2 linked regions of the Oryzias latipes genome follow. The protein of the gene in region 1 purifies or fractionates together with the protein of each later gene. This does not show direct contact. Links are inferred from orthologs where the notes say so. Each region holds a gene or a part of one and is shown in the gene's direction. Other genes may lie near its edges. The genes, in order: G2 and S phase-expressed protein 1 and acad11.

Evidence for each region.
Region 2: the proteins of G2 and S phase-expressed protein 1 (region 1) and acad11 purify together in Homo sapiens (co-immunoprecipitation; 3 studies listed by BioGRID and IntAct, counting the BioPlex papers as one, with this or other methods). This does not show direct contact. The link is inferred for Oryzias latipes from reciprocal best matches to the Homo sapiens genes GTSE1 and ACAD11.

The regions. Positions count from the first base shown.
Region 1 is NC_019864.2:3,483,811-3,488,211, reverse strand, and holds the start of G2 and S phase-expressed protein 1, read left to right. Parts: upstream 1-1,341; 5' UTR 1,342-1,402; coding exon 1,403-1,445; intron 1,446-1,731; coding exon 1,732-1,767; intron 1,768-1,857; coding exon 1,858-1,927; intron 1,928-3,819; coding exon 3,820-4,399; intron 4,400-4,401. UniProt on the Homo sapiens protein: May be involved in p53-induced cell cycle arrest in G2/M phase by interfering with microtubule rearrangements that are required to enter mitosis. Overexpression delays G2/M phase progression.
Region 2 is NC_019878.2:19,067,425-19,071,243, reverse strand, and holds the end of acad11 (acyl-CoA dehydrogenase family member 11), read left to right. Parts: intron 1-1,682; coding exon 1,683-1,752; intron 1,753-2,159; coding exon 2,160-2,245; intron 2,246-2,324; coding exon 2,325-2,396; intron 2,397-2,505; coding exon 2,506-2,660; intron 2,661-2,775; coding exon 2,776-2,892; intron 2,893-2,959; coding exon 2,960-3,069; intron 3,070-3,137; coding exon 3,138-3,252; 3' UTR 3,253-3,590; downstream 3,591-3,819. UniProt on the Homo sapiens protein: Acyl-CoA dehydrogenase, that exhibits maximal activity towards saturated C22-CoA.

The DNA.
Region 1 (4,401 bases):
ATTACCGACTGATTGCCCTTTCCAGCAACATTTCAAAAATTTTAGAATATGTTTTATTGACTAGACTCGAAGTGCATCTTTTAACAAGTGAGAATCATTTTGGTTTTAAAAAAAGCCTCGGCACTGATATGTGTATCTACGCGTACCAGGAAATAGTTGGGAAATACCTGCATTTGAATACATCTGTATTTTTGTGTTTTATTGATGCCACTAAGGCCTTTGACAGGGTCAACCACCTCAAGCTTTTTCAGAAGCTAATTAATCGAGGAGTGCCCAAATACCTTGTACGATTCCTGGCTTTCTGGTATGCTAATCAAACAATGGTAGTCAAATGGGGCAATGTCTTATCAGATCCTTTTTATGTAAGCAATGGTGTTCAACAGGGGGGGATCCTCTCTCCATTTCTATTTGATGTGTATATTCATGACCTATCCACTAATCTGAATCTGTGCAAAACTTGGTGTGTTGTTGGATGTCAAACCTTTAATCATCTTATGTATGCTGATGACCTTGTCATTTTTAGCCCCTACAGTGCTGGGTTACAAACACTTTTAAAAGTTTGTTCTGACTATGGCAGAGACTTTGATATAAACTACAATCCCTCCAAAAGCAAAGTAATGATTGTAAGGACCAAAGACAACAGAAATGTAAACTTTCCTGTTTTTAAGCTTTGTGGAACGCCTCTGGAACAAACCTCATCTATCAAATACCTTGGACATTTCATTACTGATGATTGGAGGGATGATAGAGACATTCAGAGACAGTACTGTAAACTCTATGCTCAGGCAAACATGCTGATGAGAAAATTCAGTGCATGTTCTCTTCAAGTGAAGTGTTCGCTGTTCAGAGCTTACTGCACTCCTGTGTATACGGCCCCTCTTTGGTGGAACTATGGACGTGGGACATTCCACAAATTCTTAGTGGCCTATAATGATGCTTTTAGGCTTCTGCTACAGGTGCCCCGGTGGTACAGAGCCAGTCAGCTATTTGTGGATGCTCACATCCCCACCTGTGAAGCACTACTGCGTAAGCCTACATATGGCCTTAAGGAAAGCCTGGACAAATCTAAGAACTCAATTATCATGTCTCTGACTGATCCCAAAAGAATCTCATGCCGCTACACTTCTGCCCTGAGGAAACACTGGATACAGCGATTATACTCTTTTTAATTTATATCTTTTTACTTTTTATTATGTATATTTGTATCTTTTTTCTATGGACTACATCTGAGTCTGAAATAAAAGTGTGTTTCTGAAAACCGAAAAAAAAGTACTACAAGCCCCACAATTCAACGTTGTGGGACCACGTGTCCTTTCAGCCAATAGCAGAGCGCATCTCGGTCACGTTACCTACAGGCAGCAAATTTAAATTTTTGTTGAAGTATTTTTGTGTTGCAGCTTGAATGTGGGACAGAACGGGAACATACAAGAAAAAGAACTTCAGAGGTAAGGTGTTTTTTTTTTTTTTACACAGATGATTTAAGTTGTTCCGTACTTGTTGTAACATTGTAGAGTTTAGAACTCAGATTTGTTCGCGGTTATTGAATTCATTTAGAAAACTTGCTAGCTAGTTAGCTTAGCGTAACGTTGAAATGCAACTTTGAGGATACATATCAATATAATAAAACAAAGTCTGGTTTCAGTTACAAATGATACCAAATGTCAAACAGTTATAACGTATAAAACAGCAATGTTTAATAAATGTTTGTGAATATGATTCCCATAAATAAAGGAGATCAAACAACGATGGCCTTTGAAGCCAAGAGCGGTGAGTCAACGCCTACAAAACTGCTGTCAGTTTGTGTGTCCCTATTGCTGTTTTGTTTATTCTTTGCATATCTGTCTCATATGGTTCTAGTTTCGAAAGCAGATGTGCTTTTCCTGCAAGACGAGAAGTTTGATTTCGACGTTTCTCTTTCCCCTGCCAGGTAAGAATCTCGCGAGATCTGCGGCTCTCGGGCGCGGGTGAATGAATGACGTCCGTTTTCTGTCAGTGAACACCTAAACGCTCGAGTCTAAAAAGCAGCTGAGTTCTCATGTTTCTGTTAATTTTCCCACTTTTCTAACGTTTCTTAAGGAACTGCATTCTGGATCAGATCTGCTCTCAACTTCTACTGTAGTTTAGCTCCTAATGCTAAATTCTACCAGTGGATTTAGGGGCAACGTAAAAGCCCTGGAGCTCACATGATTTGAAACATGATTTTTATAATACATTTTTGATCAATCATATGAACCATTTAAACATTTAAATTTGTGGTAATTTTCTTCATATAAATGGGTCTCACACAGATAATATTTCCATTAAACTAAGCATTAATCTGCAGGAGAGACAAACATTCACTGGATTCATTAGTTAGACAGAAGATGATCCATAATATTGATCAGCTTTGGGAAACACAATCTCCTCAGTCTTGCACTTTTTTCTAAAGTTAGTGTCACATCACCAAAAAAAAGTAAAAATATCAAAATTAAGAATTAATGGGTCATGATAAACCCACAAAAAACGTCTTTTATAGAGGACAACATAGAAATGTATGTGTGAAACATTTACAATATTAGATTTTTTCTTTTTTTTAATTCTAAAAATACAGTGATTTATTCAGCCAGGCTCAGAAACTTAAGGTTTTGGCTTTGCCTCTGTGCTTACTCTTGAGTTTTTCTGTCTTTTTATCTCAAATGTTTGTGCTGTGATATTATCATAAACATTGGTTTCATATGAACAAAAACGTCTTTACCTTGTTCAATAGTCCAGATCATTTCAATACAAGGGGTTTGTTTTACAGACTTGAATCATTTCCTGCAGGGCTGTTGAAAGACGGCGTGACGCCTGATGCTCACCGTCTCTTGATCCAAGATGTTCAGAGACGGGTCTCCCTGCTTTTCTTCATTTCCTAAAAAAAAATCCTTCAGTGTTTGTAAAATGTTGTTAAATCATATTTTCCAAAAGGATTTATGTATTACAAAATAGGTAAATGTCCAGAGAAACAAAACGTTTACCTTTTTAAAGTCCCATTCTGATCATATTTTAATAGATTTTCAAAGTGTTGCCAAGTGGTCTTTTAGATAAGATGAAGCTGTTTTTAGCCACAAATTTAAAGGAAAAAAGTGGTTTTCTAGAACATAGTTTCTGCTGAGCGGCAGGAGTTCATTAGAATTTCACCTCGGAGTTGTGGGCGGGACTGTTGGCACAGAGTAAAGCCCACCCCCCTTCCCTTCCCCGTTGCTGAGGGCTTGAAGCAGGGAGTTTGTGGCTTACAGCCTTTAACATCACACGACTTAAAGAACAATTAAAAATGCTAACTGTGCTAACGTGGCTAGCACTTTTAGCACAGATAGGAAAATTAGTGCTAGCATTGTGTTCAGCATCATCAACTCTCAGAAAACGTATCACTAAAGATGCTAACTATGCTAACTGGTGTGTGCAAATGTAGCCTCTTTTAGTTTGTAGTGGGGGTGAAATTTTCCCTCACTCGCGTTAAGAAAGAATTGTGAAAGCAGTATTGTCGTTGCAGTGCAGGACATAACAAAAATAAAAAAGCATAGTTTTGTTGTTAATTTAGGTTTTTATCAAACAGTCAGAAGGGGGGTCAAAGATTTCTTTTTTCTGTACTTTTTAATTTTTTTTTAAGTATTTGAACTATAATAGTTTTCATACGTTCTAACTTTTGCTCGTTCGTATAACTGTTTGGTTCAACCACGATTACTTAAGATTTTCACACTTTGTGTGCCAAGTTTTTTGAATGATGTCACAAAGAAACAAAAAATCCCAATAGCAGCAGTAAAGCTGTGAACCTTTTCTGGGCCTCTCTGTTTTCTGCAGCTCTAAAGATGATGAAGACGAGGTTTTTGAGGGTCCAGTGGAGGGTGAAGAGTCTCGTGTTTCTGTGAGCAAAGCCTCTGAGCTTCTGGAAGGAGATCACGTGTTTTCAAACTGGAGCCCACTCACAGGTGAGCGGCTGGATGCTGTGTGTCAGGAAGCCCACTCCCTGGTTAATCAACTGCAGGATGGAAAAGCGTGCGGCGTGGAGGACGCCAACATCGCTGGAGAACAGTTTCTTCAGGACTCTGAGGCAAAAAAGAAAGTGCTTTGTAGTTCGAGCGGCGCTCTCAGCCCCATCAAGCGGCAGACTTTCTGCGTGCAGGACACGCCCACAAAGCAGCTGCCGCCTGCCATCCAGCTCCAATTGCCCAGAGGAAGCCGGCGCAGCTCGGCCGCTCCCCTCTCTGCCGCACGCAGCACCTCCAGCCCTGTGGGTGGAGCCAAGCTTCAGCCGCGGTCTAACCTGCGGGCAAAAGCGCCGGTGGGGGTCGCCGTGGTTTTACCGAGCAAGGCAGTCGCTCCACCGGCTTCCAGGTTAACCAGCAGAGCGGACAGAACAAGGCTGCAGCCACCAATCAAAGT
Region 2 (3,819 bases), on another chromosome or scaffold:
TGACTTTAGGGCTCAGGAATATATATAAAAAAAAACTATCTGTCCCTGGAGCCAAACAGGCTTTCCTAAATGTTCTATGGGTGGAGGAGTTTGCTTCTAGAATCAGACCAAACGTGTCTCACTGAGTTGTATTTTGAATCCCTGAATACTAATTAAGGACGAGCATTTGTTCTAGTCTGTCATCTGGTGTCCATCTGTCCCGTCTGGCCGAAGGGGACGGTTACTCCAGCTGACCAGAAATTCAACAATTACTCACCCTGTCTGGATCTCATGATGAGGAATTTCAAAATATTCTGAATTTGGTGATTTATTTTCTTTTTTTTACATTTCTGTGAGGCAAAAAAACAACAACAATACAAATAAACAATACTTTATGTATACAGTATATTTAATGAATATCAGCTTTAGTCAAAAAATGACTAAAAACATAAAAGAAAGTTAACAAATATTATGATAAAATATATTTTTTAAAGTTGAGGAAATCTCAGCAGCAAAGCAAAAAGGTAAACAATTAAACAACCAGAAACCCCCCCCCCACTAACTTACAAAACAACTATACAACAAAAAACACTACCAAGGCAACAAAACAATTGTTCAAAACAGAAACAATTAAAAAATCCAAATAGACTACATGGATCCTAATGTGTCAACAGTAAAACATCAAAAGCAATAACAATTCTACGATAAAAAAAAAACATTTCATTTTTTGATCATTCCTATTTTAATCTACTTTTCTCAGTTTCTTGACTCATACTTCAGGACATTTATGTTGCCCTCTAGTGGCCATTCTCCATCACTTTCTAATATAAAGACAAAGGTCTTATTTTTGTTTTTAAGAAACACAATCTGGTTTAAATCCGAAGCTAAAATCAGAAAAACATGCATGTGAGGAAATGTAAATCCTCATGTGGCGTCTTCTGCTCTCATGGCCGTAAACTGTCTCTAGCCGTCTCCGGGTTCAGCACTTTCCAGGCAGGAAGTCCCCAACGTTTCCCAGCAAATTTGAGTCACGAAACGGTCAAGGACAGAGGGAACAACTGTGGGTCCCATTGTTCGTTTGGCCAAAGCAGAGGGGACGATGATGAATACAAATGAGCCACAAGACAGATTTTATTTCACAGCATTTCCTTATAATTATAATAATAAAATAGCTTAATCAGTCATTGAAAATGGTTAAACTGATTGATCTCTAATTATATCACTTCACCTGTCCCAAAAGGCATGATTTGTTATGTCTATTTGTCCTGATATAGTGTTATTTTTAATCATAATCAGATTAAAATAATTTGAATATATTTTAGATAACTGTTCTGTATGTGGTATGTTAATATACAAAATAGTTATGTCCATTTTACATAATTATTAAGTGATTCATCGTTGTCCTGTGATTTATTGATACTGAACCTTAATGACCTGAAACTGTGTTGGTAAGGCATGGATATCTGATAAAATAACATTATTACATGATAAATCATGTAATAAAATGGTTACGGTAGAACAGGAGTGGTAGTACAACATTTGATTTAATCTCTAATCATCCTAAATTGATAAGTCTTTGTATGAATGTATAACTACTGATTGGATTGTTTTGTGCATTATTCTTGCGTTGATTGCTTGAAATAAACCATTTCAAATAAAATAAAAAGAGATAAATTTAAAAATCGCTGCTTTGTGCCCCACAGGTGCCGGCAACCCCCTCTGCAAAGTGGCCATTGTGATGTGCAGGAGTGGATCTGAGGATGTTCTCAGCAGGTCAGACGCTCACTTCCTCTGCTCAGGGTTGTTTTTCTGAGCTCCTCTTCCGCAGTAAAGACTGATTATTGAATTTGTTGCCTCAGTATTGAAACATCTTGCAAACATGTGCTCCTGCACTTCATGGCTTCCCTGACTTTAACCAGGAGTGCTGACTATTTGAGCCTTTGAGTTTGTTTTACTCACTAAATCGATTTGTGACCATGAAGCGGGTCTAATAGAAAAAGTCTAAACCAGAGCCCCACCCAAGCTAATGTCATTCCCTTTCCCCCTTGTTTTGCAAACACACCCAGTGTTGCAAAGACAGCATGACTCACGCGAGCTCTCACATGTGAAAGCATCAAACTTTGTCGTCACCAGCTAAAGCCTCTAAAATAAACCATTTTTTTCACTGTCTTGTATTTTAGGCACAGTCAGCACAGTATGATCCTGGTACCTATGGACACACCTGGTGTAAAGCTCATCCGACCAATCACAGTGTTCGGACAGGACGGTAGGATTCTGCTGTTCATCTAGAAAAAATACTTTTTTTTTATTAATAACAAAGTAAATGGAAGCTGTTCTGTGTCTAGACGCCATCCATGGCGGACACTTCGAGGTGCTCTTTGAAGATGTCCGTGTCCCTTCATCCAACATCATTCTGGGTACAAGTTCGGCTTTTTTTCTAAATAAAAATGTAAAATCCCCTTTGTCTTGGTGGAGAAACATAGCTGATCGCTCCTGCGGTTGTTGCTCCTCTGGTGTGGTTCTCAGGGGAGGGCAGAGGGTTTGAGATCGCTCAGGGGCGCCTGGGGCCAGGGAGGCTGCACCACTGCATGAGAGCGGTTGGCTTAGCCGAGTTGGCCCTGGAGTTGTTGTGTCAGAGGGCAGCTTCTAGAAGCACGTTTGGAAAGAAGCTGTACCAGCATGTGAGTTGAAGCCTTTTTTATTTACATTTCAGAGATGTGCTGGAAGTCTTTGTTTGTTGACATCCTCTGGGTGGATATTGGGTTACTCCTTATCTTCTGCTTGGTTTCTGCTCAGGAAGTTGTTGCCCACTGGATAGCAGAGTGCCGTCTTCTGGTAGAACAAACTCGTCTGTTGACGCTTTGTGCTGCTAAAGCTCTAGATACTCTTGGAAGCCGGGCTGCTCGCAAGCAGGTAAAGCTGTTTTTTTCTGTTTCGTGTAATGCAAAAGTCCATTAAAAACTAACAGAACTCTTCACAGATCGCCATGATCAAAGTGGCGGCAGCTAGAATGGCCTGCAAGGTGGTGGACTGTGCCATCCAGGTGCACGGAGGCGCAGGGGTGTCTGGGGATTTTCCTCTAGCACAAATGTACGTTCTTTTTATTTTCAAACCTCAGCAAGATGATTTTTGTTTGAAGTTTGACATTTTGCTTTCAGGTACTCGTATGCACGGACTCTGCGCATCGCAGATGGACCCGATGAGGTGCACCTCTCCACCATCGCATACCTGGAACTGAAGGATCAGCTGAAGAAAGCGCAGGCTAAGCTATAAATGACAGCAGAACTCACTTTTCCCTGGTTGAAATTAGAAATGACAAGTTTCAAAGTGGCAGAAACTTCCCTAAATGGATGGGAAAAGAAGTTTGTTGAAATGAGTTTCTCTGGCAGTATTAGATTGGAGGTGGCCTTTTTTTTTTACATTTATGCATTCTAATTCTGTAAAAATACATCTTACACAATTGTAAATAATACTTTCTGAAAGTTTATTGATTTCAAGGCACTTTTTACGTTTACGACTGGATGCAGGTAGGATTATTTTGGCTAAACTTGACCCCAAACTTTCCTTCTTTGTAAAATAACTATTAATAAAGTGGATGAATAAAATTAAAACTAAACTGATTTCATTTTCTGCTATAATTGAAACCAATGACACGTGTTTATTAGGAATTATTTTTAATGTGAACTACAAAAACAAACTGACCACATGAATGTAAGACTCATCTTCACACTCCTTTGATGTGTGGTCTACATTTGGATGAATTCCATTTGAAGGTGATAGGAACTATGGACACAAACACATTAGCTTTCTTTTTTTTCTTTTTTTTACAATATAAAACAG